2 linked regions of the Caenorhabditis elegans genome follow. The protein of the gene in region 2 purifies or fractionates together with the protein of the main gene of each other region. This does not show direct contact. Each region holds a gene or a part of one and is shown on either strand. Other genes may lie near its edges.

Region 1 (5,271 bases), 5.4 Mb from region 2:
GATGAAGAAGACTTGGACAGCACCGAAGATAGTTTTAGACATCCATTCCGAGTAGTATGCAGTATCCTTCGTAGTATCCCAGGAGCACATGTTGGCCGTGCAAATTGCAAGATTATCGGTTTTTGCAGAAATAGTACAATGAACCAAAAACTTTTTGCTTCCATTGAGCTTCACTAAATTATCCGAAATTGTTTGGATCATCTTGCTCATCCAATCAGACATTTTGAATGGAGAATATGGAGTTTTACCAATTATTGAATCAAATGATTTTTGAATAATTAAATCAATTTCTTGTTCTTCGGCATTTGAATAGACTTTCTTTTTGAGTTTCTTATTTTTCTTTTCAATCAATTGTCTCAAAAGCTGAGCGTTTTTTGATTCAATTTGCCGCTTTGCTACAGAAGAAGTTGTAGAAGTGTCTAAAATTTCAAATGATGTTGCATAATGTGACAAAGAAAACTAACCTGTCATTTTGAAACAAGGAATGAATGAAATAATTAAAGTTATGCGATAAACATTTGTTTTCTAAATTTGATATATATATTAGAATCTGGTATAAATTTTTTTAACAGTGCGTGTAATTAGAACACGCTCTGAAGGCGAAGTGTTTAGTGCCAATTCAAAATATTACTTACAATTAGACCCGAAAATTTTGCGCTTTTTGTGCCAAAAACACGGTACCTGGTCTCGACACGAAACATTGTTTTTAAATGCAAAAAGGTGTGGGCACAGCATCTCCGACCGGGAGCGAAAAAATTAATTTTATTATAAAATGTGTTGTTAAGTTTTTGTTTTGTTTCCGCGGCTCTGTACCAGATTTTACACTAAAAGTGCACCAGTTTGGAGCACCGGACACACAGAAATTGTGTAATGTTGATGGCGTTCCGTATCCGAAATTGACATGTTTGCAGGGGTCGGTTGAGCTAACAAAGGTGGGTGGTGGAAGACGGAAATACGGTTCGAAGGAATAGTGGGGGGAAAGCTGACTGATTAGCTTGCCATCAGTGATTTACGGAAAATGTTCTGCTTCCTACTATGATTTCCTCATAATTTGAAATTTCATTAACTCTTAAATGTTTACTTAAATGTGATGCGAATTACTCAGAAAATGCACAGTTTTGGAAATGTAGCAAGTGACCAAAACATTTACTGAAAAAAACCTTCACCTTTGAAGTTCCTCTAATATCCAAAAAGTCATCATCAGTCCAATAGACAAAAAGTATTTCCGGTCCGTCATGGCAAGTTTGCCTTTCTCATCACAAACACTTTCTCTCATCCTTTAATTGTTTGTAGATGAGCCGGTCATTAACACTTATCCCTCTTATATCTATCATTCAATAAATCTTTTTGTAATATGCGCACCTCAATAATGTCTACAGACTCTTGATCAAGGTTTGTGGAACGTTTCTTTCTGTTTCCATTCAAACTATTTAATTAGATTTCCTGTAAATTCTGGAATGGAAAAATTTAACTTCATATTCAATTATAACAATGAAAATTAATTTAAAATGGCTTTGTGCAACTTCTTGAAAACAAATTGGAAAACATAGTTATTTTATAGTGAATGCTTTATGTATGCACCTTTATTATATTTCTTTTATTAGTCTTGTATCCTGTTTGCTCTACTTTGACAGCTCTCATGCCGGTTATCTTTGATTTTGTCAAAAGATATTTAACAGCAAAAAGGTATCACATATTTTTCTATATTTTCATAGTCAATTTTTGATATATCGAAAGACAATCGAGATATGAGCTTTCAAAGTAGAGCAGTGAGTTATAGGAAAAATACGGATCTTTTCATAAACTGATCGGATCTGAATTTCCCATACGGAAGCGTCTCTAATCTTGACTCTATTTGACACACAATCATTCAACAGATTTCTTTATTTAATTTTCAGAAATTTCAGATAATATGTCCTAATGGCCTCATATATTCTAAACGCACTTACACTTCGTCACGACCATGACGCAGCTGAACGAACATTGCACCATTTTTGGGATACGGTACGTGAAGGAAAAGTTCCGGTCTCTTTTCGTGAATGAAAAGATTATTTCCACATGATTGGAAGGGTCATTCCCGTTACATTCGTTTTTGAACGGAAAATGAAATTCAAAAAAAAACAGCTGAAGATGACCTAGTCTCGCAAATTTCACCTTTGCATGATAGGATCTAACGAGTGTTGGGCATTTTATTATTGTTATTAATATTATAGACTTACTTTTATTATAAAGTTTTTATAGTAATGAATGACTTTATATTCGATTTAGGTGATGTAAGTTTTTAATGATTAAATTAAAAATTTAGAGTTTATCTAAATTCAGTTTACATACTTCAGAAAGATCTTCTGGATTCCGGGTTAATTGAAGAACATATTGCAAGTCAACCCCTTTTGGCTGCAAGTTTATTTTCTTTAATTTCTTGCTCATTTGGTCTTGTTATCTTTACAATCGTATTCCTCACATGTAGGTTTCGAGGGCGATGTGGATCACAAAAATATCAAGTAAGGTTTCGAGGATCCCTTCTTTTAATATTAATATTTCTAGGAATATCCTTCAAATTCCAACACTTATGCAATATATCTTATGTTATTTTTCATTTCCTGGCTCATCGTCACATCAGCTTCTGCTTATTTTGTTCTCGCTGGAATTGGATTTTGGAGTGAAAAATTGGATGCAAAGAAACCATTTGCTAATGCGTCTCTTGTGGTTTTTTAGACATTTACTCATTTCAAAGTGAAACGTTTATATCCTAATTTTCAGAGATTTTCGAGAAGCACTATCAGTGATCTATTTGCTAATTATGATTATCATGGAGATTTTGAAAACGTTTCTGAGCTGCCCAAAAGTGGGCTGAAGAGAATTCATATTGTGAGTTAGATCCAAATAAAATATTTTTAAATAACAAAACTTCCAACTAAAAAACTATGTTATCAAAAATAACTTTCTTGAAATCTACAAAATCTTTATTCAAAATGTTCATTTTTATTTCTTTCAGAGTAGAAAACCACTTCAAACTTTTCGAAAAAGAATTGAAATTCCCATTCGACCACTGGCCGAAGTTACATTTTCTGGAACATCTGATAAGTTTATTACAAAGAATCGACCAATTATTGATTCAAATTTGAATAAAGTATCAGATGAAAAAGAAGAAGTCGATGACATTATTGTAAGAGATGTTTCTTAAAATGTATGACTTTTCCAGTTTTAATTTCAGAATTTGAGTGGGGACCAAGAGGAAGTTTCAATTCAAAATATGCATCAGCCTACGAAAAAAATTTTAGTGAATCATAAGGATCAACTTTCTGAAATTCCAAGAATTCCTCAAGTTTTTCAAACATCAGATAATTCTGAAAACCTAGATGGTATAGAAGATTCAACAGAAGAACCAGAAAATTCTACAGACAATGAAGAAGCTGAGAATCAATCGAATATTCTTGTGGTGAATGGAGAAACAATGACGATTGAGGAAGAATCTGATTTGATTGATGACGTGGAAAGCGAGGAAACGACATCCACAACTACACCAAGAACAACTACTACTACTACTACTACTACCACAATCACAACCACAACGTCAGCTCCTACAACGATTGCAACTTCTACGCCTATATCCACAACATCAAAAGCCACTACATCCTCAACTCAGTTGTTCCAAGAAGTAACCTGGAAACAAATTGAGGAAACTGATTCCGTGAGTTTTCAATTTTAAAAATGTTATCAAGCATGGCATATCCTCTCAATTGGATCCTTCATAAGTTATCTGTTCTCGTTTCTCATAAGCACGAGATTAAAATAAATTTTCATATAAGCAAATTTACTTGGCTAATTTTTTTAAAACTAATCATTAGCAGTATTTGAAATTTCCAGAACAATGTTCTAGACCAACTTCTCACTCACGCTGAAAACAATGCTGAAATTCCATCTGACAACAGTCTGTCTTACAATCCAAATTTGACGTACTTCAGTCTTCATTCAAGATTGCTCGTTTTCATCTGCAGATTGGCGTTCTGTTTTGTTGCTTTGGCTCTTCTTTTTGTGATATTACCCACATTTTTTCTTGTTGTCGCTGGCACTGGATGTTACATTTATAGTGATCATCCTATGAATCGAAGTAGCGTTTCGAATAAGGTTGACTATAGGTTATTTATGATTGAAAACTAAATTGAAATTTCAGATTGGCAAAGTAGTCTCCGTAAATGCTGCAATCTTGTTATTAATGTCACCATGTATGCTGGTATTTTCATGTTTTACTCTATTCTACACTCACTGTCACGAACTGTTATGTGCTACAATTCAACTTCAAAATCAACAAGCAAGAGGATTAGTCGATACAAATCATCAGAGTCTTATTGAAAATTATTCAATCAATACAAATCAATGTTCTCGATCATTGGCTCCTGTTCAATCTCTGCTCCTTTCATCACTTCTATTATGTATTTCATTGCTTCCATGTGTTTTTGCAATGTTCAAACTTGTGAAGTACTATTTTCGAATGAGTAGTGAATTTTATTGGAATGCTGCTGATAATTTCGCTGGGAGACAATTTTCAAAACAACAGGTAAATTGTCCGTAGAGATGCAAGACTAATAGAGTAGAGTAACTACGGTAACTAACATTTCAATATTTTCAGGAATTCCCCCGTTATCAAAGTACAGTAATCTATCCAGATGATGAAGTTACAACTGGCTATGCAGTTTATGGACAGATTTAAATTTTTTTTTCGTTTTAAATGGAGACTACGGGTTCCCAAATGTATTTTTAATTAAATGGTTTATCGAGTTGTAATAAATTTTTACTGAATTATATAAAGCTAGAAATGTTTCTAAATGAAGTTTCTCGGCAGATCACATCCTGAAATATCACTGCTCGGAAGCTCTGAAATCAGTCCTATTTGTATACAGGTTGATGTTCATAAAATATTTGAAAGTTTTTTTCAGGAAAAGAAAACACATCGTAAGTATCTATTTGTCAAGTGAGTGCTTTCTCTCTTTTCTTTGTGTGGTCCCATGGGGGATCAGTCACTAATCCTCCATTTCAATCGTCCATGTGTTCACCCTTTTCCTCTTTACTTTTCAAATAGGAGGTCATCATCAATGTCTTTTGTTTTCTTTATTTTATTAACTTTTTATATTCAAGTGAAAGGAAGTGTAGACGAATATCGACTTTTACAATATTTGAAAGAGGTATGGAACATTGTATTGCTCGTGCAAAAATTATAAGGTTTTAAATGTATAAGTTTGGAGACTTTGCTTTAATTTTTTCAAATAACTG
Region 2 (3,509 bases):
TCCATGATGTGATTAATCCAATCTCGAAGACCGAATCCTTTTTTCTTCCAGCAGAATTGTTGTTGGTAGCCTACTGTATAAGTCACATTGGCAATTTCACAAAAGTTCAAGTTCCATCTATCGAATCTGTCTGTTTTAACATCTAATCTTATTTCTTCTTGATTTGTTAATCGGAAACTAATATTAACTACAATAGAAGCATGAAGTTTGAGGTTATCGATTTTACGCTTAAGCTGCGTCGTATGAGCCTTCGTGATTTTGGAGCACAAAGAGAAGGCAAGCCTGGAATAAAAATGTCTGATTATCTACAATAAATTAAGACTTACAAATCAAGGAATCCCATTTGTTCTAGAACAATGCGCAAATTCTTTTCAGGGAGACGAAGAAGGAGAGGAAAACGGGCAGCCATCACTGCAGAAGGAGACATAGATGAGCACAGAAAGGATACCAGTGCTCAATTCAAAATGGCATATGGACAGCGCGTCGCGTTTAGGATGTTTTATCGATTCATTTTGATCTATTCATTGTGGGAAGATGTTTGTTGAAGGGTAGTTGTTGTGTATTTTATTAATTCAAAGAGAATGGAAAACTTCGACAACTCAAATTTTAATAATGATTTAAGAAGTAATTACAAAAAAAAACAAAGGATTACATTTAAAAAAAATCATTTCAACCGCAGCGAGCATCAATTGTCAAAACGGAGTACCTGCCATCATATGGGATATACGTCAAGGATAAATTTGGCAGATCGATCCGTGGGATTATAAACATGTCTCTCGCTCCTGGTGCACCATCCTTCACTTTTGATGCGGTTTTATGCGCAACGCCTTTCAACACGGTCTCCATATTCCACTGGGTTCGGACAGACGTCTCTAGTTTCAAGAATTCGCATGTCTGTATAGATCCATTGATCCAGTGCTTAAGAAAAATGTTCAATTCTTCCGATTTTAATGTAGAATCCGTTATGATGAGTTTGGTGCAGTTGCTCACTAAGAGATCGTTCAAAGTAATACAGGCATACGAAGCCTCGTCGACGAAATATCTCATTTCAGCCATTAATGCAAAATCCGGCGAACGATGAAGCACGCTTGTCTGGTTTTCCGAAAGAATCTTTTGAGTAGACAGTTTGGAGAAATGCTCTGAGTCGGGGTGTGCGAAAATTAAGCCAACAGTCTCCAAGTTTCTTCTGATGTTATAAACTCGATCTTCCGTGTAACACCAGAAATCCATGCTTGTCACTTTTAATCCATTTAAAGCTTCGCCTATCTGCCTTGTATCAGCCAGACTGAGCACGGTTCCACTTAAGTAAAATTGGTCAATAACCGGTAAATTGAATATTTCCATGGTGTGATCAATCCAATCTCGAAGACCGAACCCATTTTTCTTCCAGCAGAATTCTTGTTCGTAGCGTGCTTGTTGGTAGCCTCTTGTTGGTTGCCTATAAGTCACATTGGCAATTTCCCAAAAGTTCAAGTTACATCTATCGAATCTGTCTGTTTTAACATCTAAGTTTATTTGTTCTCGATCTGGTAATTGGAGCCTAATTGAAACTCCACTAGAAGCATCAAGTGCGATGTATTTGATGTTACGCTTTAGCTGCGTCGTATGAGCCTTGGTGATTTTGGAGCACAAAGAGAAGGCAAGCCTGAAATAAAAGCTTCTGATTATCCACAACAAAAAAAAATTTTAACTTACAAATCAAGGAATCTCATTTGTTCTAGAACAATGCGCAAATTCTTTTCAGGGAGACAAAAAAGAAGAAGAGGGAAACGGGTAGCCATCACTGCAGAAGGAGACGTTAATGAGCACAAAAGGAGTGCTCAATTTAAGATGGCATATGGACAGCGCGTCGCGTTTAGGATTTTTTATCGATCCATTTTGATCTACTTATTGTGGGAAGATGTTTGTTGAAGGGTATAATAGTTGTATGCAAATCGTTTATAGTTCTAGAGTTTATTTTATTAATTCAAAAAACAATAAGAAAAACCATGAATTTAGCGCTGCGTCGAGAATTGCGTCTACTTCTTCTCTGGAGCAAAACTTTTTCTCCGAACAAATATCTGTGCAGAACTAGAAAAAAATTACAACAAGAAGAAATTGAAAATTTTATTCACAGAATTATTTTTTAAAAATTGAACAACAAAATGAAAAAAAAAACACCTTTTCAACCACATCGATAGATCGTCAAAATAGAGCCCATATTCGGAGGTGTCGTGTAGGTCAGAAACAATTCTGACAGTCTGTATCGTGGGATTACTACTGTCTGTATATCTTCGGCCAATTCGGCTGATATTGTGTAATCAATATCGTTCAGCACGGCTTCCAAACTCCACATTCTCCCGTCATGCTTCTTCAATTGAACCATATTGAGATTTCCAATGAATCCGATGATCCAGTGCTTGAGAAATATGTTTAGGTCCTTGGCGGTTAATGTGGACTCTGGTATAAAGAGTTGGGAGCAGTTGATCGCTAGGAGATCGTTCAAAGTGAAACGTGGCTCCGAATCCGCCCAGCGATACATCAAGAAGTGCTGGTTTTCCAGGAGAATCCTCTGTGTAGACTTTGGCGTGAAATTCTCTTCATCAGGAAATGTGAGTGATACATCTGTAGGCTGGAAGGTTCTTCTCATGAAGTGCACTCTTTCTTCCGTCCAGTACACGAATTCCATGGTACCTACTTCCAGGCCATCTGTAGTTTTATGTATCCTTTTCAGATATGATTCGGCGTGGCGGGAACCTACTATGCGAAACATGTCAATGGCCGAGTGATTGAAGATTTCCATGACGTGCTCGATCCAATCCCGTAGGCCAAATCCAGTCTTCTCCCAGAAACTTCTAGTTTTTAAGTGGCCTAAAGCATTATACATGACTACTTTCGCGAGCTCACATTGATCCTTCTCGAAAACTAATTCGATTCGGTCTTGGGTAGGAGACCAGACTGCAATGCCAATTCCAGTGGAAAGATGAAGCTCGATGCTTTGGATGGTGCTGTTCAGAAGCTTCACGTGAGCCTTGGTGGAGCACAGTGAGAAGGAGAATCTGCAATTTCGGAAGGTTTCATTACATTACTTGGCTTGACAACAGAATGACTTACAAATTAAGAATCCCCATATTTTGTAAAACATTGCGCAGGTCTTTGCTAGAGAGACGAAGAAGGGGAAAACAGGCAGCCATTTGAGCAGGAGGCACAAATGAGCACAGCGGGAAGAGGGGCCACCTGGAATACAGATAGCGCGTCGCTTATTATTTATTGACCGGTTTGAGTGTACAAGAAAGGCGGAATAAAGTAATAAGGTTCAATGAGACCACCTTTCTATGCATGACATCACTTCCTTGACGTATCCATGGAGCTGCAGTCTTTTGCAGATACGTCTGGCTATTATTCTTTGAACCAATTTGCAAAATGTTACATTTCCTCATATTCTGCCTGCAACCTCCCTTATCCGGCACGGAGCAGATCCATATGACACTGTTCCCAGGTTCTCTGAGCAACAGGACTGAATGTGTGAA

The links. Proteins that work in one complex are often made in the same cells at the same time.
Region 1: the proteins of sdz-9 (region 2) and T05C12.4 fractionate together in Caenorhabditis elegans (co-fractionation; one large-scale study listed by BioGRID). This does not show direct contact.

Annotation. Positions count from the first base shown.
Region 1 is NC_003280.10:8,177,018-8,182,288, reverse strand, and holds T05C12.4 (uncharacterized protein), read left to right. Parts: upstream 1-1,907; 5' UTR 1,908-1,920; coding exon 1,921-2,004; intron 2,005-2,336; coding exon 2,337-2,501; intron 2,502-2,544; coding exon 2,545-2,706; intron 2,707-2,760; coding exon 2,761-2,868; intron 2,869-2,995; coding exon 2,996-3,166; intron 3,167-3,214; coding exon 3,215-3,691; intron 3,692-3,867; coding exon 3,868-4,128; intron 4,129-4,174; coding exon 4,175-4,558; intron 4,559-4,630; coding exon 4,631-4,711; 3' UTR 4,712-4,771; downstream 4,772-5,271. Other genes in the region: dylt-3 (DYnein Light chain (Tctex type)), read right to left, coding at 1-419, 465-471; acr-14 (AcetylCholine Receptor), read left to right, coding at 5,094-5,183.
Region 2 is NC_003280.10:2,771,832-2,775,340, forward strand, and holds sdz-9 (F-box domain-containing protein), read right to left. Parts: upstream 1,804-3,509; 5' UTR 1,782-1,803; coding exon 1,696-1,781; intron 1,646-1,695; coding exon 670-1,645; 3' UTR 538-669; downstream 1-537. Other genes in the region: sdz-10 (F-box domain-containing protein), read right to left, coding at 1-282, 327-409; fbxb-111 (F-box associated domain-containing protein), read right to left, coding at 2,165-3,038, 3,094-3,173.